Linked DNA regions of Tamandua tetradactyla. The protein of the gene in region 1 interacts with the protein of each later gene in a pairwise test. Links are inferred from orthologs where the notes say so. Each region holds a gene or a part of one and is shown on either strand. Other genes may lie near its edges. The genes, in order: WASHC3, TXLNA, HSBP1 and PBXIP1.

Region 1 (7,620 bases):
CACAACTCAGTGAAGACACTGTGAGATACTGATTATATGATTTGGATAAAATATATGATAAATGAATATATCTCAATAATATGTGACAAAAATAAAGAATTTATGCATGATAAAATTAAATAACATCAATTTATAGTAATCTGCTATGAAAACAGAAAACTATTGAAAAATCCTTAAGATTTCTATTGAATGAATATATACAAGTGGTATGTATAGTCTCTGCCCTTTGAAATCGATATTCATAACAATCTACTTGTTATTCCTATATAAATGAAATCTGGTAATACATTTCCAATGAAAGAAAGCCTGGAGGAAAAAGTACATATTTCAGAAACCTTCCAGCATTTGGTCAAGACTCCTAGTTAAAGATTTTTAATAGTCCTGGAAATTCTGTTATTAAAATGTGAATGGCACTGCTGTCAGGAACTATGGATGACTGATTAATTAAAATCATCAAGAATCCTAGGAGGCAGAAAGAAACTGCCTCTCTTCTTTCATAACTATAGCTTACATCTTGTAGCATATTTGTCTCTTTTTTTGAAGGAACCAAATTACTTTTTTTTTAATTTTGGTCACTTGACCAACTGAGAACAAGCCCATGTTTTTATAGTTTAATTTGATATGTGTGTATATGTATGTATGTGTACATATATAATATACACACTGTTAGTTTGTAAGCTGCCAGTATGCACTATAGCAGAAATGGAACAGCTTTAAAAAGGGAATTTAATAAGTACAGGTTTACTGTTCTAAGGAAATGAAAGTGTCCAAATTAAGGCACCAACAAGAGGTTACCTTACTCAAGAAAGGCCGATGGGTCAGGAACAGCTCTGTCAGCTGGGAAGGCAAGTGGCTGGCATCTATCTGCTGGTCTCTTACTTCTGGGCTCCGTTTCCTTTTCAGCCTCTGTTCCTGTGGGGTTCCTAAGTTTGCTTCTCCAGGGCTGGCTTTAATTTATTAGCTTCCCTTGGCTCTCTCCAGGTTCTAGCTGGCTTAACATCTCATGGTGACATCAGCTGGGCTCCAAGCATCTCCAAACATCCGTGTCTCTGTTCTCAAGTGTGGCTTCTGTCACTTCCGTTATTTCTAACTCTCTCCAAAATGTTTCCTCTTTTAAAGGACTCCAGTAAACCAATCAAGACCCACCTGAAATTGGTGCAGTCACATCTCCACGTAATCAAAAGGTTATACCCACAATTGGGTGTGCCGCATCTTTATGGAGATGATCTAATAGAGTTTCCACCTAGAGTATTGAATTAGGATAAAAGAAACAGCTGTCCCCTCATGATTGGATCAGGACTAAAACAGGGCTTTTCTGTGGTATGTAATACTTTCAAATCAGCATGCATGTGCCGTGCGCACACACACACACACACACGCACACACACATGCCTGCTACTTGTACTTCACCATGAAATCATAAGGTAATTAGGTTTTTTTTGCCCCCTTAACTGGGAAGCAGTGGACAGGAAAGCTAGGCTGACCGGCTGGGTATTCTGCTCTGGGAGGGGAATGATCAAAGAAGAGGAAGAGAAAATGCGGGGATTGCTAAAGCCTGAGATTCACAGAGCACAGAGGTAGGGACTAGGAGTTGGGGACGAGTCAGAAAAGGCAACATAGAAAGTTGAATGAGGATGGGAGTCTGAGGCTAAAAGATGACTTCGGGGTCCAGAACTAATTGTGATGAACTCAAGGCACAGAATGGCATTGGAAGAGGAAAGGGTGGGGACTCTAGGAGTAGGCAAAGCTCTGGAAAGAGTAAGTGGTGGTAGTATAATTTGGGCAGAGAATAAAAAAGTATTTGCAAAGTCCCCTTGGGGGACCCGGGAGAAAGGAGGGAATATTCATATCTCCCACCTAGGGGATTGCTGATGTTCTCACAATCAATTTAATAGGCCAAGCCTCTTTCTTGGGGCTTGCCCCTGTGAAACTTATTCCTACAAAGCAGAAGGTAAGCCTACTTATAATTATGCCCAAGAGTCTCCCCCAGAGAACCTCTTTTGTTGCTCAGATGTGGCCTCTCTCTCTCTCTTTCTCTCTCTAAGCCAAATCGGCAAGTGACCTCATTGCCCTCCTCCCTATGTGGGACATGACTCCCAGGGGGTGTAAATCTCCCTCCCTGGCAATATGGGACAGAACTCCCAGGATGAGCCAGGACCCAGCATCATGAGTTTGAGAAAACCTTCTTGACCAAAAGGGGAAAGAGAGAAATGAGACTAAATGTTTCAGTGGCTGAGAGATTTCAAGTAAGAATTGAGAGGTCATTCTGGAGGTTATTTTTATGCATTATATAGCTATCCCTTTTTTGTTTATGGTGTTTTGAAGGGGCTGGAGGGAAGTACCTGAGACTGTTGAACTGTGGTCCAACAGCCTTGATTCTTATAGACAATTGTATAACTATAGAGCTTTTACAATGTCACTGTGTGATTATGAAAACCTTGTAGCTGATGTTCCCTTTATCCAGGTTATAGGCAAATGAATAAAAAGAAAATAAGGACAAATTAATAGGGGAGATAAGAGGTAAAAAATTTGGGTAGATTGCAATGCCAGTAGTCAATGAGAGGGAGGGGTAAGGGGTATGGGATGTATGGGTTCCCCCCCCCCTTTATTTCTTTTTCTGTAGTGGTGCAAGTTTTCTAAAAATGATCATGGTGATGAATATGCAACTATGTGATGTTGTGAGCCATTGATTGTATACTTTGTATGGACTGTCTGGTGCATAAAGATATCTCAATAAAAATATATTTTTAAAAAAAGAGTAGGTGGTGGTCTTCCTCCCGTCAAAGGTGGGTAGTAGGTGAGCATGTAGCTTTCTAGGGCTCAATCTCAGTTCTTTTGCATAGCCTGTTCCCCTTTGTGGAATGCCCCTCCCATACTCCTTCACCTTGATAACTTTTGCATTTTCAAATCATGCATCCAGGGAGCTAGCTCAAATTTCATCAAACTGGGTTAAGTACTCCTCTTCACAGCATACTTTAGCCTAGCCTCTATCACACTATTATTCTCTTTTCAATTTTCTTTCTCCATTCCTGGACTGGAAACAATTTAATATCGATTTGCTTTCCATATAATCTGTTTACTTCTATGAAGGCAGGAATTTGGGGGCAGTTCTAATCAGTGCAGTATCCCCAACTCATAACAGCACATAGTAGGGACTATCTGTTGATTGAATGGATAACTCTTCAACACATTCCAACATGCCTGGATCATACTTAGCCCTCAAAACTGTGTATTAAAACTGAATTTTCATTTCAAAGGAGAGTGATATGCATTTAAAATTATTTGTCCTATCCTTCCTCACTTCTACCTCCCATTATTGATGTGTACAAACACTATTCTCAACTTTTCTGTTTCCAGCATTTATTAAGTATCTATGTGCTAGTCACTGCTTACCCTTTTCCAAATTCCAAATCCTGTTTCCTGCTTAACTTCTTTCGCTTACTCCTCATCACATATAGAAGCAATTTTCAAACCTTTCAGTTTAGAATAATCCCTAAGGAGTTACTTAAAATGCAGTTTTCTAGGTCTCATCCCCCAGCACCTTTTATTCGGTTTATTTGGGATTAATCCCTGGAATATGCAATTAAGAAGCACCACCCCCTTGCAAATATTGATTTAGATTGTCCATTTGCACGGTCACTGTGAGAACCACTGCCTATAGGATCAAAGCTGACACAAAACGCCCTTAATGAGTGTGTTTCTATGAATCCAGTCTCATTTCCTATCATTCTCCATTTGGAACTTCGTGCTTCAATAGAACCAAACACTACTCCCTTTCCTTAAGGGCCGCGCCGCACTCCCGCAGGCCTCCCACCCCACGTGTCTGGCAGGCCAAGCCCGCTCAGCGTTAAGCAGCTGCTCCCCAGCTCCTTCCCTCTATTTTCTCAGCGCACCGCGGCGAGCCTGCGTCTATGGCCGCACAGCACTCCGATCCCGGCCACGTGCGTCTGCGCAGCTCTCACAGGACTGTGTCGGCCTGTCCGTCCGGAAGCTGCTCTTCCAGATTCTGCACAGCCGAGTCATAACCTTCTTGAGGGCAGAGACTGTGGTTCCTGTCACCTTCTCCGTCCTCAGCATCGTGCCTGCTTCACGGGACAAGCCGAAGCTTTGGGTGAGGTGACCGTCCTAAGTCACACAGCTGCTACACTGCAGTCAAAAGCTTCACATTTCAGTGTCAGAGCTCATTCCCAGGTGACCTTTTCCGCGATCTAAAGAAGCCATTTCCATTGCTTTATTCCTCCCACGTGGCAAGTGACATTTGATTTTCTGCTGTGAAGTCCCACAGGGGCAGGTCTTACCTCCCTCAGAGCATAATTCGTCTCCGTCTTTGCGTCCCCACAGGACCTAGCAGAGTAGACCGAAAATACATATTTGTTCAACGAATGGCGGAACAGCTATTTACATAGCAGGCCAGACTACGCAGGACAGACCTCAAACCGACACAACCCCCGACTCCTTTCTTTCTTCACCCCCGTCCGTTTTCGAGACGTCTCCGCAGCCCAGCTCCACTCGGCGCGCCCGTGGGCGACGTCACAACCCGGCCCTGGAACTACCAGTCCCAGAATGCCGAGCGAGGGGGCGGGCCTTCCGGGACCTGCCGCGTGATTGGCGCCCGGAGGCTTTCCTTCCGGCGGGCCGGCCCCGGAAGGCGGCGTTCGGGAAGTGCCCGACGTGAGGCCCGTGTTGGGTGGGTCCCAGCGGGGAGGGCTTTACGAGGGAGCCCGGGGGCCCCCCACCCTCCGAGGAGATGGATGAGGACGGGCTTCCTCTCATGGGGTCGGGCCTAGACCTGACCAAGGTTTGTAAAACACAGAGCTGAACTTCCGGCGCCCGGGGAGGCGGATGGGGAGGGAGCCCGGCCCCGGGCAGAAGCCCCCGCCCGCAGGCCGCACCGCCCCTGGCCCCAGCCTCGGCCTCTGCCGGCCTGGGGAGGCACAGCCCCGCAGCCCGCCTCGCAGTGGGGCCCCCGACCCCACGAAGCGGATGGGGTCGCTCCCCCAGCCCCCGCTTCCCGGGTCGCCCGAGGGCCCCTTGAGCTCGGCGCCGGACGTTCTTTCTGTCCGAGGTACTGAGACTCCAGAGCCCGTTCCGCCACTTGCCCGCAGCCTCTGTCCTCTTCGGACCCCCGCCCCGCTGTCCGGGGAAACTGAGGAAGCGGCTCTGAGGGCTCCAGGGGGTGCCTGCGAAGGCGTGGCCGGCGCCTCACGCCGCGTCCTGTTTGTCTCCGCGCCACGCAGGTGCCCGCTATCCAGCAGAAAAGAACGGTGGCGTTTCTGAATCAGTTTGTGGTGCACACAGTCCAGTTCCTCAACCGCTTTTCCACGGTGTGTGAGGAGGTAGGTCCTGTGGCGGCTCCTGGAGTAGAGTTCCGAGTGGCCCGGAGAGACCCTCGAGCCGTCTCGGGTTCGGCCGATGCTGCCCCGCGCCCCTGCGGACCTGCGTGCTCAGCGCCCGGGTCCGATGGCTCGGGCGGGTTGACTGCGACTAAAGCGAGCAAGAGGACTTCCCCGGGGCCGCTGTTGAAAACATCCTTGATAGATGGGTTCACCTTACCCCGAAGGTTCACATTTTTAGGTGCACAGTGTTTCAGTTTATATTAAAATCATTTTACATTCCTTGATCCAAAATATGATTAGGAGAGGTAGCCTAGAAACATAACTTTAGCTTCCAGTATCATTATGCAAATAAAGGTACTTGATGCAAATGACTCATGCAGTGAGGATTAAGTACCAGATGAAGGATTAGATACCAGATCCAGAAAAGCCAAAAAAAGGGAAACGGGTTGAAATCGGGTTTAGGAAAGAACAGAAGAAATGAGAAGTGGGTAAATCATGGATCTTAGATAATTCACAAGTGAGACAACTGAGTAAACAGTATCGAGTTCACTCTATTTTATGTATAACCTTAGCAAGTGGAATTTTTGTTAGATGTGTTATTAATAAAAGTTGTATGGACACAGGAAGACAATGTTCACTAATATGAGTCCAGCTACTGTGTTTGTCTGCTTATCAAAATCTTCTGCCTTCTCACCGAGACAAATAAAAATGCAGCCTGAGCTCATTCATAGCGTAAGGGGATCAATTCAATATACTTTGATAACAGGCGGAAAGACTAGGTGTTTGCTTCCATGAACTTAATCTTGTAATGCTGCCTGTCTAAACGGGATATAGAATTCACTGAATAAAAAACAGTAAGCTGAGAATTTAGCCCTTCACTTTTCACACCAGGTGGGATAGAGAGGTTTCTGGGAAGGGCACATCCGAGGATTGTTTGCGGAAAGGAGCAAATAGTCCATCTCCTTATTCCTCATCACCAAATTAAGAACTAAAACAGACGATGATAACAAAACAAGCACATACACCATTGAAATCAAGTTGATTGAGCTGCTCTAAGGCAGGGATAGCCCCTCACTTTTGTAGCACCTAACAGTTACCACCGCCTGAAGAGTGCTATTTACTGACATTTAGATCAAAAGTAATAATGATCTCTTGATTGAATGCTTATGAATTGTCAAAGCCTTGTGGTGTAAAAGCCTCATGATTCACTTTTTTTGAAAAATACCTTTTTTAAACCAATTTTTAGTTGTAAAATACAGTATATATATATGTGTATATATGCACACACACACAAGGAAAAGAAAGAAAACAAGCAAAAATTTGTGACGCACACTTCAACAAGCAGCTACAGAACAGTTCCCAGAGTTTGTCATGGGCTAAATTCAGATTTTTCCTTCTAGCTGCTCCAAGACACTGGCAGCTTTATCAGTGTCATAATATTGGAATCATACAGTATCCTTTTGTGTCTGACTTATTTCACTCAGCATATGTTTTGGGACACTTTTGTCTAAATGCTACATAATATTCCATAGTGTGTATATACCATATTTTGTTTATGCACTCATCTGTTGATGGATGCCTGGATTGTTTCCATCTCTTGACAATTGTGAATAGTGCCTGTTCTAGTTTGCTAGCTGCTGGAATGCAACACACCAGAGACGGATTGGCTTTTAATAAAAGGGGATTTATTTTGTTGGTTCTTCAGAGGAAAAGCAGCTAACTTTCCACTGAGGTTCGTTCTTACGTGGAAGGCACAGGATAGTCTCTGCTGGTCTTCACTCCAGGCTCCTGGGGTCCAACAATTTTCCCCAGGGTGACTTCTTTCTGCATCTCCAAAGGCCTGGGCTGAGCTGTAAGTGCTGAGATGAGGAATGCCGAGCTGCTTAGCTGTGCCACGTTGTGATCTCTCATTTAAGCACCAGCCAATTAAGTCAAACGTCACTCATTGCAGCAGACACGCCTCCTAGCCAACTGCAGATGTAATTAGCAACAGATGAGGTTCACGTACCATTGGCTTATGGCAGCAACAAGACTAGGTATGCTCACCTGGCCAAGTTGACAACTGAATCTAACTAACACAATGCCTCTGTGAACATCAGTGTGCAAATGTTTGTTTGTGTCACTGCCCTCAACTCTTCTGGGTATATAGCGAGTAGTGGTATTGCCGGGTCATAGGGCAACTCAATATTTAGTTTTCTGAGGAATCGCCAAACTGATTTCCACAGCAGCTTAACCATTTTACATTCCTACCGACAGTGAATAAGTGTTCCAGTTTCTCTGCATC
Region 2 (7,795 bases), on another chromosome or scaffold:
CTAACAGGGTCTCTAGAAACCTGCCTTTTAGTTCCAGAGGTTCCCACTGACTGCCTAGCCCTGGTGTTGGCAGAATCCCTCTTGTAGAACCAACCACATGTGTTCCACCCTCAGCTGGCCAGCCTAGTTACTTGGAGCAGTGGGCATAAATGACTCTTCCAAGGAGCAGGTATTGATGACCCCACTTTCAAGGATCCTTGGTGTTCTCTCTTACCTGGATCTACGTTAGATCTGTTCCTTCCACTCTGTTTGCCCTGGAGGTCACCTTCCAGAAGGCCTATTTTCTGGAGATGAATTGCACAGATTCTAGCTGCTACTGTACTTAGTCAAGGGAGAGGGAAAGAAGGCTTTCAGGCACACATGTTCTGTTTCATTCAGGCTGAACCAGTTTAAAATGAAAACCATCTAGGAGAGTGAATTGGATTTCCCCGTCTTCTCTTTGGAGTTTCCCATATTCTAGGAAACTGGAAGGAAAGGAGATGAAAACTTAGCAATACTTCCTTCTTTGTCCCACATGCCCCTCTTTGAAGGTGTCAGCTCATTTGCCCAGGTCTCATCTCTTCTCTAAACTCATTCAACTTGGTATCCATCATCTTGGGTTTTCCTTAGTGATTTATCCTATAGTCTCATTCTAAATTCTCAGTAGAAGGCAGGAAGCCAAATTCTTCAGGTCCCTGTACACTCCCATGGGGGCTTCAGGTATGTTATATGTGCCTGTCTGCCTCACTGACAGGCTGGGGAAGGATCTAGGGCCAGGACTCGGAGCCACAGCAAATGTTCATAGCCAGCAACATCTTCCAGGTAGGACTACCCTAGAAGTGAATGAGTGTGGAACTGAGATTGTTCAGAGGACATTTCTTCCACAGCCATGTTAGGATTACACTAACCTTGTCCAGTAGTTTTTTTTGTCATAGTTTGATTCTTTTGTTGAGCCAACAAGCTGAGAATTTGGCCCTATAGGGATTTATCTGGTAGGCACTAGGCTGCTATTTGGCCAATGCCTTCATAATGATTCAGCCATCCATTTCTGATCCCCTAGCTCCAGCCCTGAATTAAGACCATGGCAAGGGAAGAATTTGAGGTCAAGACTAACCAAATCTTGTAATTCAGCTATTATTTTTCCTCTGAGAAGGCATTTTGCAAATACTGTTAACATTTTTCATTTATAGCAAAGCAGAAAATAACTTTTTAACCTATGTTTCTTATTCCTTGCCTGCCTGCTCTACTCATACTTCCCATCTGGCCCCTATAGGTCAGTATTAACTCTTGCCTGCTACACCTACCCAGGCCTGGGCTGTATGCAGAACCAAAATTGGCTATGAGAGTTAGAAGAGGCCCAGAACACCCTATGAGAGCTGCTGTGTGGTGTAAAGGTCTTCAGTGAGCTTGGGCTTCACTGGCTAGGCCAGCCCAGCTTCTCATCTCCATTAGCACTTGCCTGAACCTCTCTGCTGAATCCCGTGTTCCCTTATGTATGTCTAGTTTTCAGCCCCTAGGTTTGGGAAGAGAAAACTGCCATCCCCTGGGACAGTGAAGAAAGGCATTTCTCAAAGGTTCTGAGACTGGCTAGAAACCTTTGACTCAGAGAATGTCCTCTACAAGAAACCTTGGACCCTGAAGTTGAAATTTGGTTTCTTTATCCAGCTTTTGTGCGAACTGCCTTTGATTGAACCACTAGAGAAGGGAAAGGGTTATGGGGCCCTAGCCACCCAAGGCGTACCTGATGTTCCCTAAGAACAGATAGGCTTCCCAGCTACAGACCCTAGGAAGGTGAATACATCCCTTCACCTCACTGGTGTTTCAGAATTCATTTCCTTTTATTTTTCCAAGAACATAAACCGTCTGGCTATTTTCCATATTCTCAGGGCCCCTAGGGAGACAGAGATACAGCTTGATGATTTCAGAGCATAGGCATTGAGTGTTTAGTCCAGAAAAATGATATTTATATACACATCCAAATTTGAAGAGAAAATGTATTTCTTTAGGTTTCAAACACTGTAATAGATATAAAGCAAAAATAAAAACCTGTTGCAAAGTTCTAAATTGTTTCTTTTGATTTGGAGTGAAATTAAACTGAATTTTTTTGGAAGTGAAGGAGGGGAGGGTGTTCATGCCTGTAGCCTAATGTAGGAAGAAGAATTGCACCGGCCTGCTCCTGCTAGACTTCTTTTTTTTTTTTCAAATAATGAAGTTATAACGTACAATAAACTACATAAAGTGTACCCTGTGATAAGTTCGGACATATACTACCATGAAACCACTATAATCAAGATAGTGAACATAAAAGTTTCCATATTGGGCGGGCCATGGTGGCTCAGCAGGTAAGAATGCTTGCCTGCCAAGCCCGAGGACCCGGGTTCGATTCCCGGTGCCTGCCCATGTTAAAAAAAAAAAAAAATTAAAAAGTTTCCATATGCCCCTTTGGAGTCCCTCCTTCCTGTCCTACCCTCAGCAATTACTGATCTGCAGTGTGCCACTATAGGCTGGTTTGCATTTTTTAGAGTTTCTATAAAGGATGTTGACATCATTTCAGTCCACTACTCTTTAAAAGGCTTATAGGCTTAAGTGAACATTATCCTCATTTTGCCCATGAAGAAACAATACCACATACTTTGAGATCATATAGTTTTGTTTTTCGTTTCATGTTTTTTTTTTTTTGTATGGCAGAGTCACATTTCATTCTTTTTCCAGATTGTAGCACCATTATTGGTGCACCATTTGTTGAATTTTTTTGTTTGTTTAGTTTTGGGAAGTGCATGGGCCAAGAATCGAACCCAGGTCTCCCACATGGCAGGCAAGAATTCTACCACTGAACTACCCCTTGCACGCCCAAGATCATATAGTTTTATAAATGCCTTGCTTCAGTTTAGATTAATTTCTAAAGCAGAGAAGCAGCCAAAAGTTGATTTTGCCCAAAAGAAGAGTTTTGATTGGCCAATAGAGTGTGTTTAAGTTTTAATTAGTTGCCAAAGTTAAAAAAAAGTCAAGATAATATCTTGTCTTGAAAAATATTGAATATCTGGCACTGTTCGGCCTAAGTTTTCTGCTTGGCAACAAACTGCAAAAACTGCTCTATTTTACCATAATCCTCACTATTCCCAATTGTATTCCTCACTCTGTCAAGTGCAAATATCACTACCATTTTTCTTTTCCAGCAAAGGAGAAAGTAACATTTTAACTCATATTTCTATCAATTTTTCTTATTGCCCACCTACCTCCTCTATTCCTATTATCATATACCTCCACAAGACATTTCCAACATGCTGTTATGGAAATAATCAAGTACGTAGGGTAAAGAAATCTGGATTTCAAATCCTGGCTCTTTAGGACACTGTCTTTCTGAGCCTCAGTTCTATCATCATACCATTATACCACATTGCTTCCCACTCAGTGTTCCATCAGACACTGGTGCCGCCTACGGGCTGGGGAAGATTAGGCCCAGCACTGCCCTGAAATCTTAACCAAGCCTGTGCTGTTAGACTGGTGCTAGGCTCTGGAGCTAGAAAATTTAGTCAACAGTTCTTTGATTTGTAAGTAAATAGTAATTTCAACCGTTTCGAATAATTCTGTAATTGAACTCTGTCCAGACTAGAGTGAGGACAGACTGCAGAGGATTGAGAACATACTGAAGTGACCTGTAAGCATAGCCACAGAAAATTTTGTTTTTGCCAGAGGGTCATTTTGAAAGAGGGAATATGACCTGCAAAAACCTGGGAAATTGCAGAAATACTAAAAGCACAGTTGGAGCCAAAAGGCAGGGAGAAAGAGGAGAGTTGGTTGGAAAGAGGCAGCAGCCAAACCATGTAGGCTTTAAATTCCAGGCACAAGGATTGTCTGCCATTATTCCATTATCTATAGGCGGTGGCAATAAAGAATTGCAATCTCACATTTGGAAGGAAAAAAAAACTTGGCTTTCTTTTTTAACTCTGGTGCTACTGGGACTTACTCTGTAATAGGTAGGCCAGAGAAGAGACTTAGGAATCTTTGCCTGAAGCCAACCTCTCCTGCAGGAACCCCTCAGACCCTTCCAAAGAGGGACTAATGGCCAAGTTGGTGATAGGAAAGAGGGTAAAAAAAACTTAGTTTCACAAGTTACCTTGACATCTTCAGCGTAAATATGCCATGATTATTTCTTTGGTTATTCTAGGTGAAAGACAGTGACAGACTTTCTAGTTTTGACTCCCTGGTCTAACTACCCATTTGTAGTATGACCTTGGACAAGTTATCTTTTACCCCACTGTCCTCACCTGTAAAATGGGAATAACAACAGTACTTACCTCCATGAGTAGTTGAATATTGAACTAGTAGATACCAGAAATGCACACAGCAAACGGTCAACAAACTGTTACTGTTATTATTAAAAGCCCCTCCCTTGAATAAGCAAATAGGAACCCAGTCACTACACAGCAAATTAGTGTACTCAGGACTGGAATACTGGTTTGGTTCCCAGCTCAAGATTCTATCCCTTGCCCTGACTCCTCGGAGTTCGTACATAGCCACAGAAGTTCACAGTAAAGAGTGAAGGGATGGTGGAAGCATGCAAAAAAGAATAACCAGGCGCCAGGCCTGGGGACTGAGTCATAGCTTCTACGTAGTATGAAAAGAGGTTGACGTGGGTATTGTGCAGAATGACTAGCTGCTTTCAGAACTCCTGAGTATCTGACTGAGAAGACTAAAGCCCTATGTACTGCATCTTGGGAATTGCGGTCAGCTACCCCGGTGCATGTAGGGACTCGTAGTCCTCTCCCTCCTCCGCCTTCCCAACGTAAGCGGCCTCAAAAGGCGGCTTCGCTTCGTCTTTCCCAGCAAGCCCCGCGAGAGCGCGAGCTATTGATTGGCGGCGGCGGCGGCACTGCCGGCAGCGGTTGCCCAGGGTTTCCGGTGCGAAGCTACAGCGGGTGAAGCCGTCGGGCGGTGAGGTGCGTACTGTGGCGACTAGTGGAATGAGACGATCGGAGGGCCTATGGGCCTTGATGCTTCCGGCCAGTGGGAGGAATCACGCTGACTCCACTCGTGGGCTCGGGCCGGAGAATGGGTTAATGCCTATGCGCATGCGCGGGGGTGTCGCGCACACCGTTGGCGGGCGCGCGGGGCGTGGGTGTCTGCGCGCGCATGGGGGCCCACGTGGTGCTTGGGGGCGGGGAGAGATCGGGAATCGAGCCTCCCGCCACGTCAGTCTCCGGCCTTGAGCCAATCCCGCTCTTTGCCTGTGGTGAGGGGGCCGTGTTGTGCCGGGAAGTGGCTTCGGGGAAAAAGAGGCCTCTTTCCTCGACTGCTCCAGGAGTGGAGCTCGGAAACCTGCCTTGGCAGGCCAAACTGCCCCGTCAGCCCAATGACCAGCAGAACCGTTGGCTCCCTCCGGTGAAGGCCCGCCAATCTGTTTTTGTTTGTTTTAAAGAGCTTTCTCGCCCGGTCTTGGAATTTCTGATCCAGAGAGGCTGCGAAGAATTTCCAAGTCTGGAAAATAGCAGCTGTGTTTGTTTCTAAAGGATCTGCTGCTAACCTAGCATCGCAAACCACAATGAAGAACCAAGACAAAAAGAATGGGGCTGCCAAGCAATCAAGCAACACTTTCAATCCAAAAAGCGGCCCAGGGCAACCGGAAGCAGGACCGGAGGGAGCCCTGGGGCGGTCCAGCCAGTCGACTCCGGCGACAGAAGCTGAAGGTTCCTGCTGCCAGGCCCCAGGGAAGACTGAGGGTGTGTGTCAGCTCTGCTTTTCCGGTGGTCATGGGGAGGAATCTGTGGTACGCAGGTTTAGCTTCCGGAGTGAGAGGCCAGAGATGTAGATTGAGAGAGGACAGTGCTGAGTCTGTGTGACCCCCACCGTTTCTTGGGGAGTTGGTAGAACCTCCCCCTCCAGCCACAGGAACAGAACTCTCTTGAGAAAAGGCTCTAACAGGATTAGCCAAGTGACAGTCAAATGAGAGACCCAACCTGCAAATCCAGGTCCTGTTAGGTAACAAATCAGTCACCAGTGGGTCTATATTTGAGGCATTTCTGGAACTTTTTAAATAGCAAACTATGGCTTTAGGGGGAAGGAGAAAGTGATGGACTAGAAAGTGAGCTCCTGCTATATGTCTAACTGGTGCAATGTGCTTTACGTACTTGACCTCTTATGCTTACAACACACCTTCTTGGGTGGTGGTAAGGGGTAGTTATACTATTTTATAGGTAAATAAAATGAGGCTTAAAGAGGTTAGGCAGTGTTTAACCCCAGCCAGGGAGTTTAGCAGGGCCTGAAAAATCCCAACCAGTGGTATAACCATCTTATTTCTCATTCTGTCCCTCATCTGCTGCTGTAGGGGCTCAAGCCAAAACTGCTCAGTCTGGGCCCCTACGTGATGTCTCTGAAGAGCTGAGCCGCCAGTTGGAAGACATCTTGAGTACATACTGTGTGGACATAAATCAGGGGGGCCCAGGTGAGGATGGGGCCCAGGGTGAGCCCACTGAACCTGAAGATGCAGAGAAGTCTCGGAACTATGCAGCAAGGAATGGGGAACCTGAACCAGGGACCCAAGTTATCAATGGTGAGAAGGAGACCTCTAAAGGGGAGCCATGCACAGAGGAGATCCGAGCAAGTGACGAGGGCGGAGACCGAGACCAACGAAGGCCACAGGAAAAGAAGAAAGCCAAGGGTCTCGGTGAGCAGAGGGCAGCTACATGTGAGGCTGCTGAGGGGAAGGCATTGGGACCCAACATTACTTGTGCTAACTGCTCTGCCAGAAGTTAGAGGAACACAATACTCCACAGAGCAGTGAACCATCCTAACTTAGTTCAGTGGGTGGCATAGAGGTCTACAGGTTGTTTCACTGCACAAGGGCGCCTGGCCTTGGGAGCATGTGAGGGCTGACATCCATTCTGATCTCTCTTTGAGAAACAGAGAGCCAGAGGCCTGGGTGACCGTCTGCCAGCCAGAACTATCCCTCATCTGCTGTGTCACCTTGAGCAAATACTTCCCTCCTTCTGGCCTTAATTTCAGCTTTGCTTTGTGAAAGGATTGGACTAGACTGGGGTCAAAAACTCAATTGTCTGCACAGGCTAGCCAGGGAGCCCCATGAGGACCAAGAGAGTTGCCTATTTCATTCACTTTATCTCAGCCAATTGATAGCATGCAAAACTACAGGCTCGTGCATCTGGAATTTTGTTTCTTTGTTTTTTAAGAAAAAACCAAGAATCTAAAGTAAAATCTCTAGATTTTTAACTGTTGACAAAATGCTATGAGCCAAACAAAACCCACCCATGGACTGCATTTGCCCTGTGTTCTAGAGATTTGCAGTGTCTGTACCCATCTCTTGGAGCCTCCCAAGGCTGACACTAGAGGTCCCTGGGTGTAAGTGGCCCTGCAGGGTAGAAAGGAGATTGACTCAGGCACAGGCAGTGCAGAAAAGATGGTGACCGACAGTCACTTGACAGCCTTCAGAATAAGGGTATTAAGAATTGAGGTTGGGTGACATTATATGCATATCCTTTTCCCCACTTTCCTACCCTCTGCCTGTGGCCCTAATTTAAAGAGGAAATACTAAAAAAAAAAATCTTACGATCACGTATATAGAAGATATATACTTTTTTTTTTGTATGCTGTATAGTGGGGTCACATTTCATTCTTTTTCCATGTGAATATCCCGTTACTTCAGCACCATTTGTTGAATCGTTTGTTTTGTTGGTTTCTTTGTTTGGGAAGTTGTATGGGCCAGGAATCGAACTCTGGTCTCCCGCAAGGCAGGCGAGAATTCTACCAATGAATTCTACCAATGAAAGTATATACCTCGCACCCCGAGGTATATATTTTTTAA
Region 3 (7,938 bases), on another chromosome or scaffold:
ATCAATGAACTAAGCATACAACTTAAATTGGGGTCGGGGGGAAGCAGAATAAATTCTGAGAAAACATAGGAAAAGCAATGAAACCAAAAACAAACATACAATAGAAAGGATCAATGAAACCAAAAGCTGAAAAGTGTAACAAAACTGACACCCTCTGGTACAACTGATAAAGGAAAAAAGAAAAGGTCCACATACACAATTTTAGGAATATAAAAATGGTCCTAACTAAAGAAGCTGAAAACATTTTTTCAAAAGAGATCTTATCAACACTTACTTGATGCCAACGAACTTGCAAATTTAGATAAAACTGATACACCCTGGTGTGCAGCCCATAGAGAGCAGGAAAATAAGTTCTAAACAAATAATTGGACTCAATATATTAGAAAAAGCAAGTGAGAAAAGAACTGAATAAGCATTTCTTTGATCTGGAAATTGCATGGACACTGGTGATTTCAACCAGAGCAGTTTCAATGGAGAGAAGCAAAAGCCAAGCTATGTATAGGTAGACAGGCACTGTGCACTTCAGGTTGTATAAGCGACAATAAACTTTAAAGAAAACAAAATTGCATGAGCAGAAGGTAAGAGAGGGAGGCAGTGAGTGACAATGGCACACTTTTCTCCTTCTAGAACCTCAATTATGGAGCAGCAACCAAGAAGGCCAGGAGAGGCTCCCTTTGGTTGGGGTGGTTTGGATTTTCTATTGGTTTTCACCACTTTTATATGCTGAGAGAAAGGAGTCAATGGGAAAAAGGAGGGGAGGAAGCAAGTTGCTGGAGTTGATGATGGGGTCCAGAGTCCAGCCCTCTACAGTGGACAAATGGACAGCTTTGGACATGGAAAGGACACTTCCTCCTTGGAGACAAAAAGGGCCAAAGCCAAGACAGGTGTGAAGACAGGTGCATATGAGGGTATAGAGGGTAGGAATTAAGTAGGCTTGTAACTGAGATTTTCTATTTTCTCTGCAAAATAGAACACAGAGGCACCCTCTGAACGTGAAGGGAATGCATGCTGGGTGTGAAGAAACTGGAAAAGTCTGGAATGACCACTGAAGGGTTAGGAGCTCCAGCAGCCCAGGCCACTCAGAAGAAAGCAGCATTATATCTGGAAACTGCCCCAGCAGCACCACCTCAGTCAGGTGTCAGAACCAGAAAAACAAGGCTGCAGCAGCTCGCACCCATGACAGAGCTGATCCAGGTGCAACCAGGCAAACGAATTCAAAGGTTTCTCCATGGTCCTGATATGATAATTTCTTCCACAAGGCAAACAAAAAAGCTCATCGACATGCCTATACACGTACACATACACAGCCCCCATTCTAGAGCTGGATAGAAAGAGCGCCGGAGCGGCCCAGCTGGAAACAAAGTGCCATTATGAAAGTACCACATTGAGCTCACATAAAACCAAACCTTCCTGAAAGGGGAAAAGAATTAAAACTGCAATGATTTTGAAAGAGCAAAAAAAAAAAGACAACTATGACACTTAAATAAAGGTTTAAAACTAGGGTTGTTAAAAAATAAAAATGAAAAGGTTAATTGCTAGCACCTTACACATAATACAGTAGTTTTGTTAATGGAACAATATTCAGTTAGGTTCAGTGTGTCAGCTTCACACAGTATATGAGCCATGACCATAAATTAGTGTCGCTTTCATGGAAAGCAGCTGTTTAACAGACCTGTGGTCTCCACACACAATGCACTCCATCTTTCTGTTTAAGTGCAAAAAAAAAGTCTCCATAGAAAGAGTGCCAAGTTTGTTGCTGTTTATGCAAAGAAAACTTCAGTATTTTAAAACCTCAAATCTCTTGCCAGAAAAGAAAATCCAGATCCTAATACTAATTCACATTCCTTTGTTTCTCATAACAGTAAGCTAGGATGGCTTGCAACCTAGCTAGGGGTACGCAGACTTCTATGCTGAGCTCAAATAAGAAAGTCTGAGATCCTATCCAGTCTTGGCTACTCTCTCAAAAGATTCTGGAGCGTTATGAAAAAGTCTTTACAAAATAGCAATAATACTAATTTCAGGTGGCATTGCTTCACCAGCCTTCACTCTCAATATATACAGGGGAAACATTCTTTTTTTTTTTTAATGGCATTTTTTTAAATTTATTTATTAATTAAAAAAATTTAACAAACAAAATACAACATTAACATAGATAATCAGTAATTCACAATATCATCACTTAGTTGCATATTCATCATTTCTTAGAACATTTGCATCCATTCAGAAAAAGAAATAAAAACACAATAGAAAAAGAAAGAAAACGAAAACAGAAAAAAAAAGATTGTACCTACCATACCCCTTACCCCCACTTTCACTGATCACTAGCATTTCAAACTAAATTTATTTTAACATTTGTTCCCCCTATTATTTATTTTTATGCCATATGTTCTACTCGTTTGTTGACAAGGTAGATAAAAGGAGCATCAGACACAAGGTTTTCACAATCACACAGTCACATTGTGAAAGCTATATCATTATTCAATCGTCCTCAAGAAACATGGCTACTGGAACACAGCTCTACATTCCCCTCCAGCCTCTCCATTACATCTTGAATAACAAGGTGATATCTACTTAATGTGTAAGAATAACCTCCAGGATAACCACTCGACTCTGGAATCTCTCAGCCATTGACACTTTGTCTCATTTCATTCTCCCCCCTTTTGGTCGAGAAGGTTTTCCCAATCCCTTGATGCTGAGTCTCAGCTCATTCTAGGATTTCTGTCCCACATTGCCAGGAAGGTCCAACACCCCTGGGAGTCATGTCCCACGCAGACAGGGGGAGGGTGGTGAGTTTGCTTGTTATGTTGGCTGGAGAGAGAGGCCACATCTGAGCAACAAAAAAACTCTCTTGGGGGTGACTCTTAGGCCTAAATTTTAAGTAGATTTGACCTATCCTTTGTGGGGTTAAGTTTCATATGAACAAACCCCAAGACTGGGGGCTCAGCCTGTAGCTTTGGTTGTCCACACTGCTTGTGAGAATATCAAGAATTCAACTTGGGGAAATTAAATTTCTCAGGGGAAACATTCTTAAGAGACCCAGCAAGAACAAACCTATGTTTGATGAACAAGTATTGAGAATTTTAGGCAAAGTCTACAAGTCCTTCTGAGTGGTTCTCAACCAAGGGTGATTTTGTACCCCAGGGAACATTTGGTGACATTCTGGGTTGTCACAGCGGGGGTGGGTGTGAGGGGGGGTGGGGTGGATATATTATTAGCCTCTAGAGAGTAGAGGTTGGGGTGCAGCTCAACATTCCACAGTGCACAGGGCAGACCCCTCCCACCACGACAGAGAATTACCCAGCCCCCCCAATATCAAGAGTGCTGAGAACCCCTGCTCTGAGATCGGAAAAGTCAGAGAATTCTGGAACGATGGAAAAATAAAGTAAAAAAGTTCTGAGTCTGAGTCCTGTGTCTATTATTTTCTAATTTGATGATCTTGTTCAAGTTTCATAGCCCCTCTGGATCTGTTTTCTCAAAACTATAAAGTGGTAATAATTACATCATAGGGTTCTGAGGATTAAATTCAAACGCTGAGAGTTTTTTTGTAAGAAATGTGGTAAAGCAATAAGCAAATACCAGTTAACAGCAACCAATTATAAAAAGCTTTGTCTTTGCAAAGAAGTGTCCTCTTGACTTTAACAAAGCAAGCTGCTGCACCGTTGACGTGGGAAGGAAGCTCTCCATGTGCCCAGACAGGGACAGGCCAAGGAAACTGGAGTCTGAACACTTCGCGGCCAACCCAGGAGGACAGGCTGCAGTTCCAAATTTGCTACAGGTGCTGGGGGTGGTTCTCGCACACCCTCCCTCCAGCTAAACTCAGACTAGGAGGTCCTTAGATGAGTTAAGGCATGCAGAACACACCAGGCCATGGTCAAGGGCTTTCCTACCCCCTTGCCTTGGGACTCCATCCCAAGACCACCTGGGGAGCAGAGGTCCCAACTTATCCTTGTCCTCCCAACACCTGGGAAAATTCAAGGATTGAAAGTTTAGCTCCAGGAGGCGGGGGCAAAGGCTTTCTTTGAACATGACCAAATTCTTTACTACACAGAACACACCCTGGCCTTTGGCCTAGGCTCTCCAACATCAAAACCACCCTATTTGTCTGAGCATCGACATTAAGCACTGAAATCCAGTCTCTTGCGCCGCAAGAAACTAGCCTTCCCCACTCAGCCAGCCAAGCGGCTACAGAGGCCCCGCGGCCGTCCGCAGGTGAAGTTGCAACACAGGTCTACCGCGCTGACAGTCAGGGCGCTGGTAGGGGCTGAGGGGCTCCCGGAGGGCGGCTCGCGGGCAGGACCTCGTGCGGGGGGACGTCCGCTCTTGGCGGGAGGTGTGTCATGCTGCCCACAAGCCGCCTGCCCCTCGAGGGCTGAGGAAAATACCGCGCCCGAGGGCAGACCCGCAGCATCACGGCCGTCCGTCCGGCGGGCGCGCCCCTCACCTCTCTGGCCTCAGTTTCCCCTCCGGATGAGCCCGGGTTCAGGGCTCCGCGAGCCTCCTCGAGGAGCGGCAGCCACACGAGGCGGCGCGCACATGCACGCGGGAAGTACGTCCCGAGGATCAAGAGCGACCAAACTACCCGGGACCACCACGGGGAGGCAGGCCAGAGCCCAGCCCCGCGTCCCACGGCCGCTTTTGCGGCACGTGTTCCGCAGCGAGCGAGCCACCGGGAGGAGCCCGGCGGGGCGACACGAGGAGGGGCGTGGTGGGGAAGACACGAGCGTGGGCGGAGAGACACGAGGTTACACAAGGCGACGAGGAGGGGCGGGGATAGGGCTGGAGGGGCGGAGCGACACTGAAGGGGCAGGACTCTGGAGGGCGGGGCGAGGGGCGTGGAGAGGCTCTACGGGGAAGGTCTAAGAGGTGAGGGGCCGGAGCTTGCTTCGGAACGGAAGCGCGAGGCCTCGAGGCATTTCCGCCGAGCGGCGTGGACTACAGCTCCCACAATGCCCCGCGGTCCCGCACCTGTCTTCTCACTCGCGAGAAGAAGCCGCTGGGGGCGTCTGCGCGGACAAACGGAAGTATAGGTGACGGGCCGAGACTTCACCGCCAAGCTGGGAACCGGGGAGATGGCCGAGACCGACCCCAAGACCTTGCAGGATCTCACCTCGGTGGTAAGGAAAGCTGCGCTGTCGAGGTCCGCGGGCCGAAGGTGGCGCAGGGGTAGGCCGAGTGACGCAAGGGGTGGTCCGGCCATGCCAGACCGAGGCGCCCCCACCGCGGCTTCGCGGGGCTCCTCTGAAGGCCTAACTGGCCACCACGACCCCGCCAGTTCCGCTCAGTGTAGGCCTGCACCCTGTGCATGCCCCCACCTAGGACCGACCCTCCCTCTGGTTCTCACCCCCCTCCCGTTCCTGAAACTCGCCCCCCGCCCTGGTGACCCCTAGGACTCCGCTAGCATCTCATTCCCACACCCTTCTCTCTCCCCAACTCACCCCTTACCTCCCCTTTGGCACCTCGATGCGTCCAAGCCGTCAGAAAACACCCAAAAGACCCTACTGTATAAATCATGGCAGGCCCAAACTGGAAGGGGCTTCAGTCTCATCAGTCTAATTAATAATTGCGAAATCGGAGGACTGAAGCCCAGTGTAGGAAATACCTTCCTGAGGACCACAGCGCTGCCACCAGGTCTCGCTTCCCGACCTGGCCTTCTGTCTTGATTCCATGAAGACGTCTTGGAATAAATGTTTTCTTTTCTTAGGTGCAGACACTGCTGCAACAGATGCAAGATAAGTTTCAGATTATGTCTGACCAAATCATTGGAAGAAATATCCTTTTTATTGGTAGTCAGTCTCTTCTGGATCTTTGGATCCTGTTTACCAGGTAGTGGTGTGGATAGATGGGTGATTTGCAGCCCAGTTTAATCCAGTCATTTACCAAGTTTTTCACCGAGCCTGGATGTGCTGTTTCCTGAGAAGTATCATGCTAAAGATTCAGGATACAGAGCTAAGCTAGACACATCCTGGCTAGTCTGACCCTTGACTGTGAGATAAAGTGCTTAATATATCTTTCCTTTGATCCTCACAATAACCTTATGCATGGATTATGTTGTTAACTTGATGTAGCTGACGAAGAAACTGAGGTTGAGAAAAGTGAAAAGCTTCTCCAGGATCCAATCGCTAGCATGGAACAGAGTTGGCCCTGGGCATCCTTGCCCCTTGCCCCAGGTTCCTGGACTCCACCACCAGACTAGAACAGGATCCAAAGAAAATTGGAAAACCAGTGTCGTAAGATGGGCGGGTTCAGGCTGTGGTCTGCAGGGCCCTGGAGGGAAAGGATGAGGACTGAGCGGACGTGATATGTGGCATCCCTAACTTTACCACTTGATGACATGAGTAGTCGCATTGACGATCTGGAGAAGAACATTGCAGACCTCATGACGCAGGCTGGGGTGGAAGAACTGGAAGGGGAAAACAAGATACCTGCTGCACAAAAGAGCTGAAGGTGAAGGAGGCTCAATTCTATTTTAAAAACAAAAAGTGGAATACAGAGAGGTACTTCTAAATATAATTTTGAGATAGTCAGATTTTCTCTGGCTCACATCCCAGCCATTATCCCAGCAAGCATTCATTTTATTGTTTCTTCCTTTGGACCCCATATTTTGAAATTTTTCATGCCAAACCAATTATTTAAAATTATCCCAGTTTTTATTAATTGGATCTTTATTGCTTTTGGTTGAAACCCTTAGTTAACATTAGATAACCACTGAGTTTAGATTGTTCTGCTAAAAAGCAAATATGGTGTTGTTGGCCTGCAAAGCCTTATCACTGGAAAATTTTTCATTGGGTTTTTTGAAATACCAAATAAGTCAAGCCCTCTCATGACCACCTTAAAGCCTAAGAACTCTTAAGAGCCTCCTGCACTAGGTAAATGCCGAGACAACGATTGATTTTTCGCAGATGATCTAGAAAGCAGCTAATTAAGCCTCTGCCATGAAGCTGATAGAATTTTCCACTGAATAGTTTCAGATACTAGAAGAAATGCTAGTTAAAAAGAGTTATATTATCAAGAAGATGGATAGCCTTATTCTCACTGTAGTGGGTTTCTTCATTGTAAGCCTTTTTGTGTGTGTGGCGGGTACCTTGTTACAACCCAAAATTAATTTTTAATTTAAATAAACTTTTTCTCTATCTTATTTTTTAGCATTTTAGTCCCTTATAAAAAATGAAATTGGGCAGTGTGATGGTGGCTCAGTGGCAGAGTTCTCACCTACCGTGCCTGAGACCCCGGGTTTGATTCCCGGTGCCTGCCCATGTTAAAAAAATAATGAAGTTTACTGACAACTGTTAGCTAACTAGAGGACCAAGAATTATACAGCAAAATATACCTAATTCCTTTCTTATTTTCTGGCCGACCCAGGAACCAAATTTTAGTTAACTATGCCATATAGGTTGCTTTGAAGTCCAAGAGAATACATAGAGGCTTGAGGGGTCAAAAACTGTTAACTATAAATAAACTAGGTTGGTTCTCTGTGTGACTGAATCACGTACTTGGGTTGCATGGTTTCTGTTATTCTCTCTAGAGATAATGTAGAAACTGTCCTGCCAGTCTTATAAGTTTCCCTGGGTCTCCTCTTATATATTATTTGGCAGCCAGAATTCCCATCAAGTGAATAAGAACATCCTTTCAAGAATTGCAGGACTGAAGACTTCCAAGTGACAGGGAATAATGTAAAGGAATGGGAGCAGAAAACATTTAGTTTTTGTTTTGTTTTTTTTTTTACAAAAAACTTTGCAATTAAAAATCTGTTATTTTGCTGGAATATTGTGCAGATAATTTTTTTTAATTCAGAGAATTCTTATATTTCTATGTATCCTTTTTATTTGTTCTCATATAATGACAAACATGTCATTTTTCCTTTTTAAACAGGTTGCTAATTGACAATGAAATCTGGAACACCGTTTTTACAAGCCAAGAGAAGACCTAATGGCTTTTTGC
Region 4 (7,409 bases), on another chromosome or scaffold:
TTGAGTCTTTAGAGAAGGTTACAAGATTCTGAGCCCCTCCCCGCTATTTGGTGCTTCGCTTTCCCCTTGGGAGATGGCACAGTAATAGGGCATGTGTTTTAAATTCAAAGTTATATTTAAGTCTCAGGTTTTAGTTGTTTGACCTTGAGCAAATCCTTTCACCTCTCTGAGCCTCATTTTCCTTATGTGTAAAATTATAGAAAGAAAAATAACCCCGTCTTCAGGGTTGTGGGGAGGATGAAATGATTGTGCACGTAAAACTCCAGCCTTGGGTTTAACAAGTGCTGAGTGCCCAGTACGTGGCCCCTGTCCTGTTCCTGCCCATTCATTGCCCGCCCCCCCCCCACCCCCTCCTCGTTCATGCCCTCGCCCCTCACTCTGGCCTGCTTCTCAGGATGGCTGGCTTCGATGGCTCAGCTTGGGATGAGGAAGAAGAAGAGCCACCTGATCACCAGTACTATAATGACTTCCCGGGGAAGGAGCCCCCTCTTGGGGGCGTGGTAGACGTGAGGCTTCGGGAGGGAGCCACGCTGGGCGCTGCTCGACCAGCTCCACCCAGTGCCCAGACCCCCAGCCATCTGGGGGCCACGCTGGTAGGTTGCTTGGATGGCGGTGGGCGGGGCCCTGGGCGGGAGGGTCCCTGCTCTTATCTGATTTTTGTCCCTGCAGCCAGTGGGGCAGCCTGCGGGGGGAGACCCAGAAGTCCGCAAGCAGATGCCACCTCTGCCACCCTGCCCAGGTCTGAAGGGAGCTGAGGTGGGCGGAGCTGGGGCACAGGGGGCAGGGCTAGGCTCACTGTAAAGTTTCCCTGTCTTCAGCAGGCAGAGAGCTCTTTGATGACCCCTCCTATGTCAATGTACAGAACCTAGACAAGGCTCGGCAAGCAGGGGGCGGGGCCGGGCCCCTCAATCCTGCCATCAATGGCAGCACACCCCGTGACCTCTTTGACATGAGTGAGTGCTCCTCTTTCCTTTCTGCATCCCCATTTCCTTCTTGGTTCGTCCATCTGCCGTTTCCTTCCTGGCCTTCTCCTAAGTTCTGGGTCCTGGGTGAGGAGCGTATAGGCTGCCTCTCCTACCCTCTCTCTGCACCCTCAGAGCCGTTTGAAGATGCCCTTCGGGTGCCTCCACCTCCCCAGACGTTGTCCATGGCCGAGCAGCTCCGCGGGGAGCCCTGGTTCCACGGGAAGCTGAGCCGGCGGGAAGCTGAGGCGCTGCTGCAGCTCAATGGGGACTTCCTGGTGCGGGAGAGCACGACTACCCCTGGCCAGTATGTGCTCACCGGGCTGCAGAGTGGGCAGCCCAAGCACCTGCTGCTGGTGGACCCTGAGGGGGTGGTGAGTGTGGCAGAGGTGGGGGGAGAGGGGTTGCAGAAAGAAAGATACAGTACTCTGCAGTGCAGCTCTGTTCCTTTATGCATTGCTTCCTAGACTTTCCCATCCGGGAAGCTCTGTACGGGTCTCCCCTGCTCTTAAAAGGTGCCTTGGTGACCCTTCTCCAGAGATTTAGCGTTCCCAGTTTTCTCCTCCCTAAAACTAAGCTGTATTCCTTCCAGCCCTGGCTAATCCTCAAATCCCTGAACCTAAAGCCCATCAGAGCTAGAAGGGGGCCTGAGTGCTCATCTCATCTGGGCCCCTCTTTTGACAGATGAGACCATTCTGGAGTTGTACTTGGTGGGCAGATGATTAGAGGCCAGACCCCTCATCCCTTACAAGTGGAGCCAGGGCCCTCCCCAGCTTCCCTAGACTCTGGACTCAGGGCAGTGCCCTTTTTCCTATCTGTACTGCCCCGGCTTCCCCTCACAATTTTATTCTCTCTGTTATAGCAATCTCAGCCTCCCTTACACATCCTTTTTTGCACGGTGTATCTTCTCGAGACAGGCCAGCTTCCTCCAGGGCAAGGATGGAGTAGCTATCCCTCAGTTTCACGGTTCCTGGGCTGGCATCCCTTCTGCCTTTCCCCAGTTCACTGCCCTGCCCATTCCCATGCCTTGTCGAGCCCCTTTCTAGAGAGGCCTCACTTATCAGGACTGACAGCTCCCCAAGTGCTACCTCCCCACCTCCCCACCCCCATGCCATTTTTTTTCCCCTTTTTCAACCCTCTTGAATATTCCAGCTCCCTTGACCTTGGAGGCTGAGGTCCTCTTATGACACTCTACCTGAATTGTCCCTCTCTTTTCGGACCTTCCCAGGTTCGAACAAAGGATCACCGCTTTGAGAGCGTCAGTCACCTCATCAGCTACCACATGGACAATCACTTGCCCATCATCTCTGCAGGCAGCGAACTCTGCCTCCAGCAGCCTGTGGAGCGGAAACTGTGATCCTTCCCAGTGCCCTCTCCCAGGAGACACCCTCTGGCCCCATCCACTTTATTCCCTGGCTCTCAGGAGTGTTCTGAGGGCTGGATCTTGTGTTGGAGCTGGGAGTGGTGTGGACACGTGGTTCGGCATCCGGCTGAGTGAGAGGGTTTGAGTCATGAGATTGGGGTGGAATCTTGCTTCTCCTCAAACCTCACCAAAGCGTTAATGTACAGAGTGGCTCCCTTCCCTGGGCCTTGTCTGTGCCAACCTGATACCCTCTTCGCCAAGAAGGTGGATTCTTGAGGCCTGGACAGTGCCTCAAGAACGTTCTGTGGTGATAGGCCCAGTGAAGCAATCACCCTTCCAGGGAAGAGGGAATGAATCACAACTTGGGTCTACCCCTAGGCTCAGGATATGCCCCAGGCCCCTCCCAAACCCCCTCCCTCCCCCCAGTGTTGAAACTTTGTGCCTTTGACCATCTCCTAGGTCTGAATATATTTTATGCAAAGAGTTCTTCTTGGGCCCCTGAGGTCAAGGACAGGGGTCCTGACACGTTGGCTTTTGAGACCCTCTCCTGTCTTTGTTCAGCACCTCCTCCAGTTTAGGTTGGGAGAACAGAGGAGGAGTGCCACCTGCCCCCTTTCCATGGGGGATGTATACCCTTAGAGACTGCCCCAGAGCCCCCCTCCCGGCCAGGGGGGAGATGGACTCCTCCCTCCCTCAGTGCCTCCTGGCCGGGGCCCCTCACAGAAGGGGTCTGTATATGACTTTGTAAGCCCCACCCCACCATGTCGCATGCATGTTATACTCTACAGCCAAAGTGCAACCGTTCCCCCTGTAGCCTCTGCCCTGCCTCCGTGGCTGGGGTGGTGCTGGGGGGCAGGGCTGAATTTGGGCCTCCTGTAAAATTAACTCTCCCAAGAGAGTTTTACAGAGCAGGGAACAGGGCCTTTGAGACTCTAAAGCAGTAGACAATCCCTAATATCATTTCTAGATGTGGAACTGCTTTTATTTTTTATTTTATATACATGTATTTTAAGGCTGTAGATTTATTTTTTAATTTTGTTTTCTATGGCTTGTTCTTGGAGCACAAAATGATAATTGATTACGTTTATACATCACTTCTTTGACTTTTCAAAGCCCTTTTACAATTATTGGCATTTTCCTCACCCTATCCCGTGAGGGAATTGGGATCGGCAGCATTAATTTTTTTTACAGGAGCGATCCGAGGCAGAGAGGGGTAGGGCTAGAAAAACGGAGCCTCTTACATCGAGGCTGGGAGGTAGAAGTATGGCTGAAAAAGGTTTCACGAGGGGAGCATTAAAACCTGTGTTGATTTATTGAGCACCTTTTACTTTTGGCGCTGCACTAAGCCTGGCCACCGAGACGGAGAAGACGGCCCTGCCCCTTCTCTTAGGCCTCGTGCATACGGGAGAGTTGACTTTTAATTCTCGCCTCCTTTTCGTGTGTGGATGTTTTCACGGGTTTCACTTATACCAAAGGGAAATAATCCTCATTAAAGTTCGTATTTCTTCTAGCCGGGCCTGTCTCTCGGTCACTCCGCAGGTCCATTGTTCGCCGCGGTGGGCGGGGAGGAGGGAGTGGGGGGGCTCAGGGCAGCCCCGGGGCGGGGCGCGGCGGGACCCCCGGGCCCTGCACGACCCTTCGCCGCCCGCGGGACCGGGGCTTCGAGCGCGGGGCGCGGGGCAGGCGCGGCAGGGTGTGGCGCGCGGGCCCCACGATCCGCCGCGGGTTCCTCGCGGGGACCGCCTCGCGCCGCGGGCTGGGCCGGAGCGGCCAGAGGGCCTGTCGGCGCCGCGAGGCCGGACCCCCGGGAAGCCCGGGCCGCCCCGGCGCGCGCCTCCTCCGCGGCGGCCCGGAATGGTACGGTCCGGCGGCAGCGCGCCCCCAGGCCAGGTGGCACGGGCCGCCCCAGCGGCTGAGACGCCGCCCCCGCAGGCTCGCCCGCAGGCTCGGCTCTCCCCGCGCCGCCGCCGGCAGCTCCCAGCCGCGTCCTGCCCAGAGCCGGGTCCCCCTGCTCGCCGGGCTCAGTGGTGGCGGCCACGCCGAGTTCCGCTTCCTGTTGCTGCGGCCGCGGGCGGGCGGAGAGAAGAGCGGGCGCGCGATTTGCGCTCCGCGCCGCATCTGCTCCTAGCCGCGCCCCGAGGTCGCTGCAGTGCGGGGGCCTGCACTGCCCCTGGCTCTCCTTCTGGGCGATGGTGCAGCCCGAGGGCGCCTCCATCTCCCGCCGCCGCTGACCCCGGTCTCCCACCCCATGGCCGCCTCGGCGCCGCCCCCACCGGACAAGCTGGAGGGAGGTGGCGGCCCCGCACCGCCCCCTGCGCCGCCCAGCACCGGGAGGAAGCAGGGCAAGGCCGGTGAGATCTCTGGGAGGGGCGGGGGGCGCGGAGGGGCCCTAGGAGGCTCGGAAGAGGGTAGGTGGGCGAAGACCTTCAGGGACTGGGGGCACGTGTCACAGACCCAGGGCCCTGGGGTTTTAAGGGACATGGAATTCAGGAGTCACTTGGAGTTTGACGGTATCAAGAGATGGACTCTCCTTCATTTAAGGGAAAAGGTGGCCTAGTATATACCCATGCTCACAATTCATTTTTCACATCACACCCTATGATGTTATGAAGTAAATTAGCAAGTGTATAATGAAGTTACAGGAGTTGCTCAGGGGATGGTTGGGAGAAAAGAAGTTGGGGAAACCTGTGTCTACCGTTTGCTGCTCTTCCAGGTCTGCAAATGAAGAGCCCAGAAAAAAAGCGAAGGAAGTCAAATACTCAGGTGAGTGGTGGCTGGTGGTGGGGGTAATTCCTAGCAGTTCCTTGGGACCCTCTAATCTACCACTTCCATATGTATCTGGATCTTGTATCAGGTACAGAGAGAAGGGAAAGCTGTCATTTTTACTATTTGTGGACCTTTCCCTCAGCATCATAACAAACCGGGAGAAATACCCACCCTTGAGAGGTGATATGGCCAAAGACCCCATTAGGCAGGGTCAGTTCGCCCCACCTGCTCTTCCTGTCCTGGGTCCCTCATGATCATGGCACTTTCCACTTACTGGACTTTCTCTAAGTGCCAGGGATTGTGCTAAGTGTTGTACAGGTTGGGAGATAGATATTGTTTTTATTTTACCTGTTTTTTAAAATCCTTGTTTAGTATGCTGGGGTCTTTTTTGTTCTGTTTTTGCCTTTTTGTGTGTGTGTGTGCTAGGGTTTTGAAACATTTCAGGGTCAGAGTTGGGATTTTAGCCTAATCTCTGCCTGCTTTCAAAAAAAGCACAATGACTGCACTATGCTGTTTGCTTTCTACCCTCTGTTCCTCTGTTATGTTCTAAGGTCCATCTTCATCTAAGATCTGAGCTGGCTTGTACCACCCTCAAAAACATATATTGTGTTTTTAGTGCTCTCCTCCCGGTTTAACTCGGCGTCTTCCTTCGTGACTTTCTCCCTCGTCTGGTCCCCCCCAGGGCCCTGCGTACTCACATCTGACGGAGTTTGCGCCACCTCCAACTCCCATGGTGGATCACCTGGTCGCATCCAACCCTTTTGAGGATGACTTCGGAGCTCCTAAGGTGGGGGGCACAGCCCCTCCATTCCTTGGCAGTCCTGTGCCCTTTGGAGGCTTCCGTGTACAGGGGGGCATGGCAGGCCAGGTACCTCCAGGCTATGGTACTGGGGGTGGAGGGGGTCCCCAGCCTCTTCGTCGACAGCCTCCCCCTTTTCCTCCCAACCCTATGGGCCCTGCTTTCAACATGCCCCCTCAGGGCCCTGGCTACCCACCCCAAGGCAACATGAACTTTCCCAGCCAACCCTTCAGCCAGCCTCTGGGTCAAAACTTCAGCCCTCCTGGTGGGCAGATGATGCCTGGCCCAGTGGGGGGATTTGGCCCCATGATCTCACCCACCATGGGACAACCTCCCAGAGGGGAGCTGGGCCCCCCTTCGCTCCCTCAACGCTTTGCCCAGCCAGGTGCACCTTTTGGCCCCTCTCCTCTCCAGAGACCTGGTCAGGGGCTCCCCAGCCTACCCCCCAACACAAGTCCTTTCCCAGGCCCGGATCCTGGCTTTCCTGGCCCTGGTGGTGAGGATGGGGGGAAGCCCCTCAATCCACCTGCTGCCACTGCTTTTCCCCAGGAGCCCCACTCAGGCTCCCCGGCTGCTGCTGTTAATGGGAATCAGCCCAGTTTTCCTCCAAACAGCAGTGGGCGGGGTGGGGGCACCCCGGATGCTAACAGCTTGGCACCTCCTGGCAAGACAGGTGGGGGCTCAGGGCCTCAGCCTCCCCCAGGCCTGGTGTACCCATGTGGTGCCTGTCGGAGTGAGGTGAACGACGACCAAGATGCCATTCTGTGTGAGGCCTCTTGCCAGAAGTGGTTCCACCGCGAGTGCACAGGCATGACTGAGAGCGCCTATGGGCTGCTGACCACTGAGGCCTCTGCTGTCTGGGCCTGTGATCTCTGCCTCAAGACCAAGGAGATCCAGTCCGTCTATATCCGCGAGGGCATGGGGCAGCTGGTGGCTGCCAACGATGGGTGACACTGGTGAAGGGCCCAAGGAAGTGCTCTTCCAGGGTGAATGTTTCCATGCCTGGCTCTTGGTCCTTGTTTCCACTGGCTTCCTATCCTCATGGGGCAGAAACACAGTGGCTCCAGGGGGGAGAAAAGGAACTAAGGTGGGCAGGCAGAAGAGGGTCTGGACTGCTCACTTTTCTGGAAACTTGCACATTGAGATCTGTAGAGGTCCAGGAAACCAAAGCCTTGCTGAGCAGAGCCATTTTTTGGGTGGCAATCTCTGGAGGCCTAGGGGTATGGCGGCAAGAGAAAAGGGGCTGGAGGAAGATCTGGAGAGCAAGGGGGTTCCCTCTGCTGGATGCCCTCTAACACCTGTGCCTAATACCCCTATCTAGCTTCACAGCTCCAGCCTTACTCTTTGGAGTCGAGTGTTAAAGGTTTCTGACCAGAGGAGTTCGGATCTCTTCCCATCCGTAGTAGCCCTGTGATGGGCTCTGGGAGACAGCTTTAGGGAATAAGTGGGGATTTTCTCCTCTTTCCACCCTCCCTTTACCTCCTCGAAGTCCTACCCAACTCCTCCCCCCTCAAAGAAC

The links.
Region 2: the proteins of WASHC3 (region 1) and TXLNA interact in binary tests that used the Homo sapiens proteins (3 or more experiments, as listed by UniProt). The two-hybrid records come from large-scale screens. The link is inferred for Tamandua tetradactyla from reciprocal best matches to the Homo sapiens genes WASHC3 and TXLNA.
Region 3: the proteins of WASHC3 (region 1) and HSBP1 interact in binary tests that used the Homo sapiens proteins (3 or more experiments, as listed by UniProt). The two-hybrid records come from large-scale screens. The link is inferred for Tamandua tetradactyla from reciprocal best matches to the Homo sapiens genes WASHC3 and HSBP1.
Region 4: the proteins of WASHC3 (region 1) and PBXIP1 interact in binary tests that used the Homo sapiens proteins (3 or more experiments, as listed by UniProt). The two-hybrid records come from large-scale screens. The link is inferred for Tamandua tetradactyla from reciprocal best matches to the Homo sapiens genes WASHC3 and PBXIP1.

Annotation. Positions count from the first base shown.
Region 1 is NC_135333.1:172,203,386-172,211,005, reverse strand, and holds the start of WASHC3 (WASH complex subunit 3), read left to right. Parts: upstream 1-4,612; 5' UTR 4,613-4,747; coding exon 4,748-4,798; intron 4,799-5,237; coding exon 5,238-5,336; intron 5,337-7,620. UniProt on the Homo sapiens protein: Acts as a component of the WASH core complex that functions as a nucleation-promoting factor (NPF) at the surface of endosomes, where it recruits and activates the Arp2/3 complex to induce actin polymerization, playing a key role in the fission of tubules that serve as transport intermediates during endosome sorting.
Region 2 is NC_135328.1:193,695,629-193,703,423, reverse strand, and holds the start of TXLNA (alpha-taxilin), read left to right. Parts: upstream 1-4,795; 5' UTR 4,796-4,919; intron 4,920-5,132; exon of another isoform or gene 5,133-5,398; 5' UTR 5,399-5,521; coding exon 5,522-5,699; intron 5,700-6,304; coding exon 6,305-6,643; intron 6,644-7,795. UniProt on the Homo sapiens protein: May be involved in intracellular vesicle traffic and potentially in calcium-dependent exocytosis in neuroendocrine cells.
Region 3 is NC_135342.1:78,500,078-78,508,015, forward strand, and holds the start of HSBP1 (heat shock factor-binding protein 1), read left to right. Parts: upstream 1-4,936; 5' UTR 4,937-5,069; coding exon 5,070-5,114; intron 5,115-5,701; coding exon 5,702-5,768; intron 5,769-6,323; coding exon 6,324-6,442; 3' UTR 6,443-6,444; intron 6,445-7,869; 3' UTR 7,870-7,938. UniProt on the Homo sapiens protein: Negative regulator of the heat shock response. Negatively affects HSF1 DNA-binding activity. May have a role in the suppression of the activation of the stress response during the aging process.
Region 4 is NC_135330.1:7,950,955-7,958,363, reverse strand, and holds the start of PBXIP1 (pre-B-cell leukemia transcription factor-interacting protein 1), read left to right. Parts: upstream 1-4,402; 5' UTR 4,403-4,573; coding exon 4,574-4,676; intron 4,677-5,038; coding exon 5,039-5,088; intron 5,089-5,773; coding exon 5,774-5,878; intron 5,879-7,409. Other genes in the region: SHC1 (SHC-transforming protein 1), read left to right, coding at 395-593, 670-739, 819-953, 1,098-1,336, 2,191-2,319. UniProt on the Homo sapiens protein: Regulator of pre-B-cell leukemia transcription factors (BPXs) function. Inhibits the binding of PBX1-HOX complex to DNA and blocks the transcriptional activity of E2A-PBX1.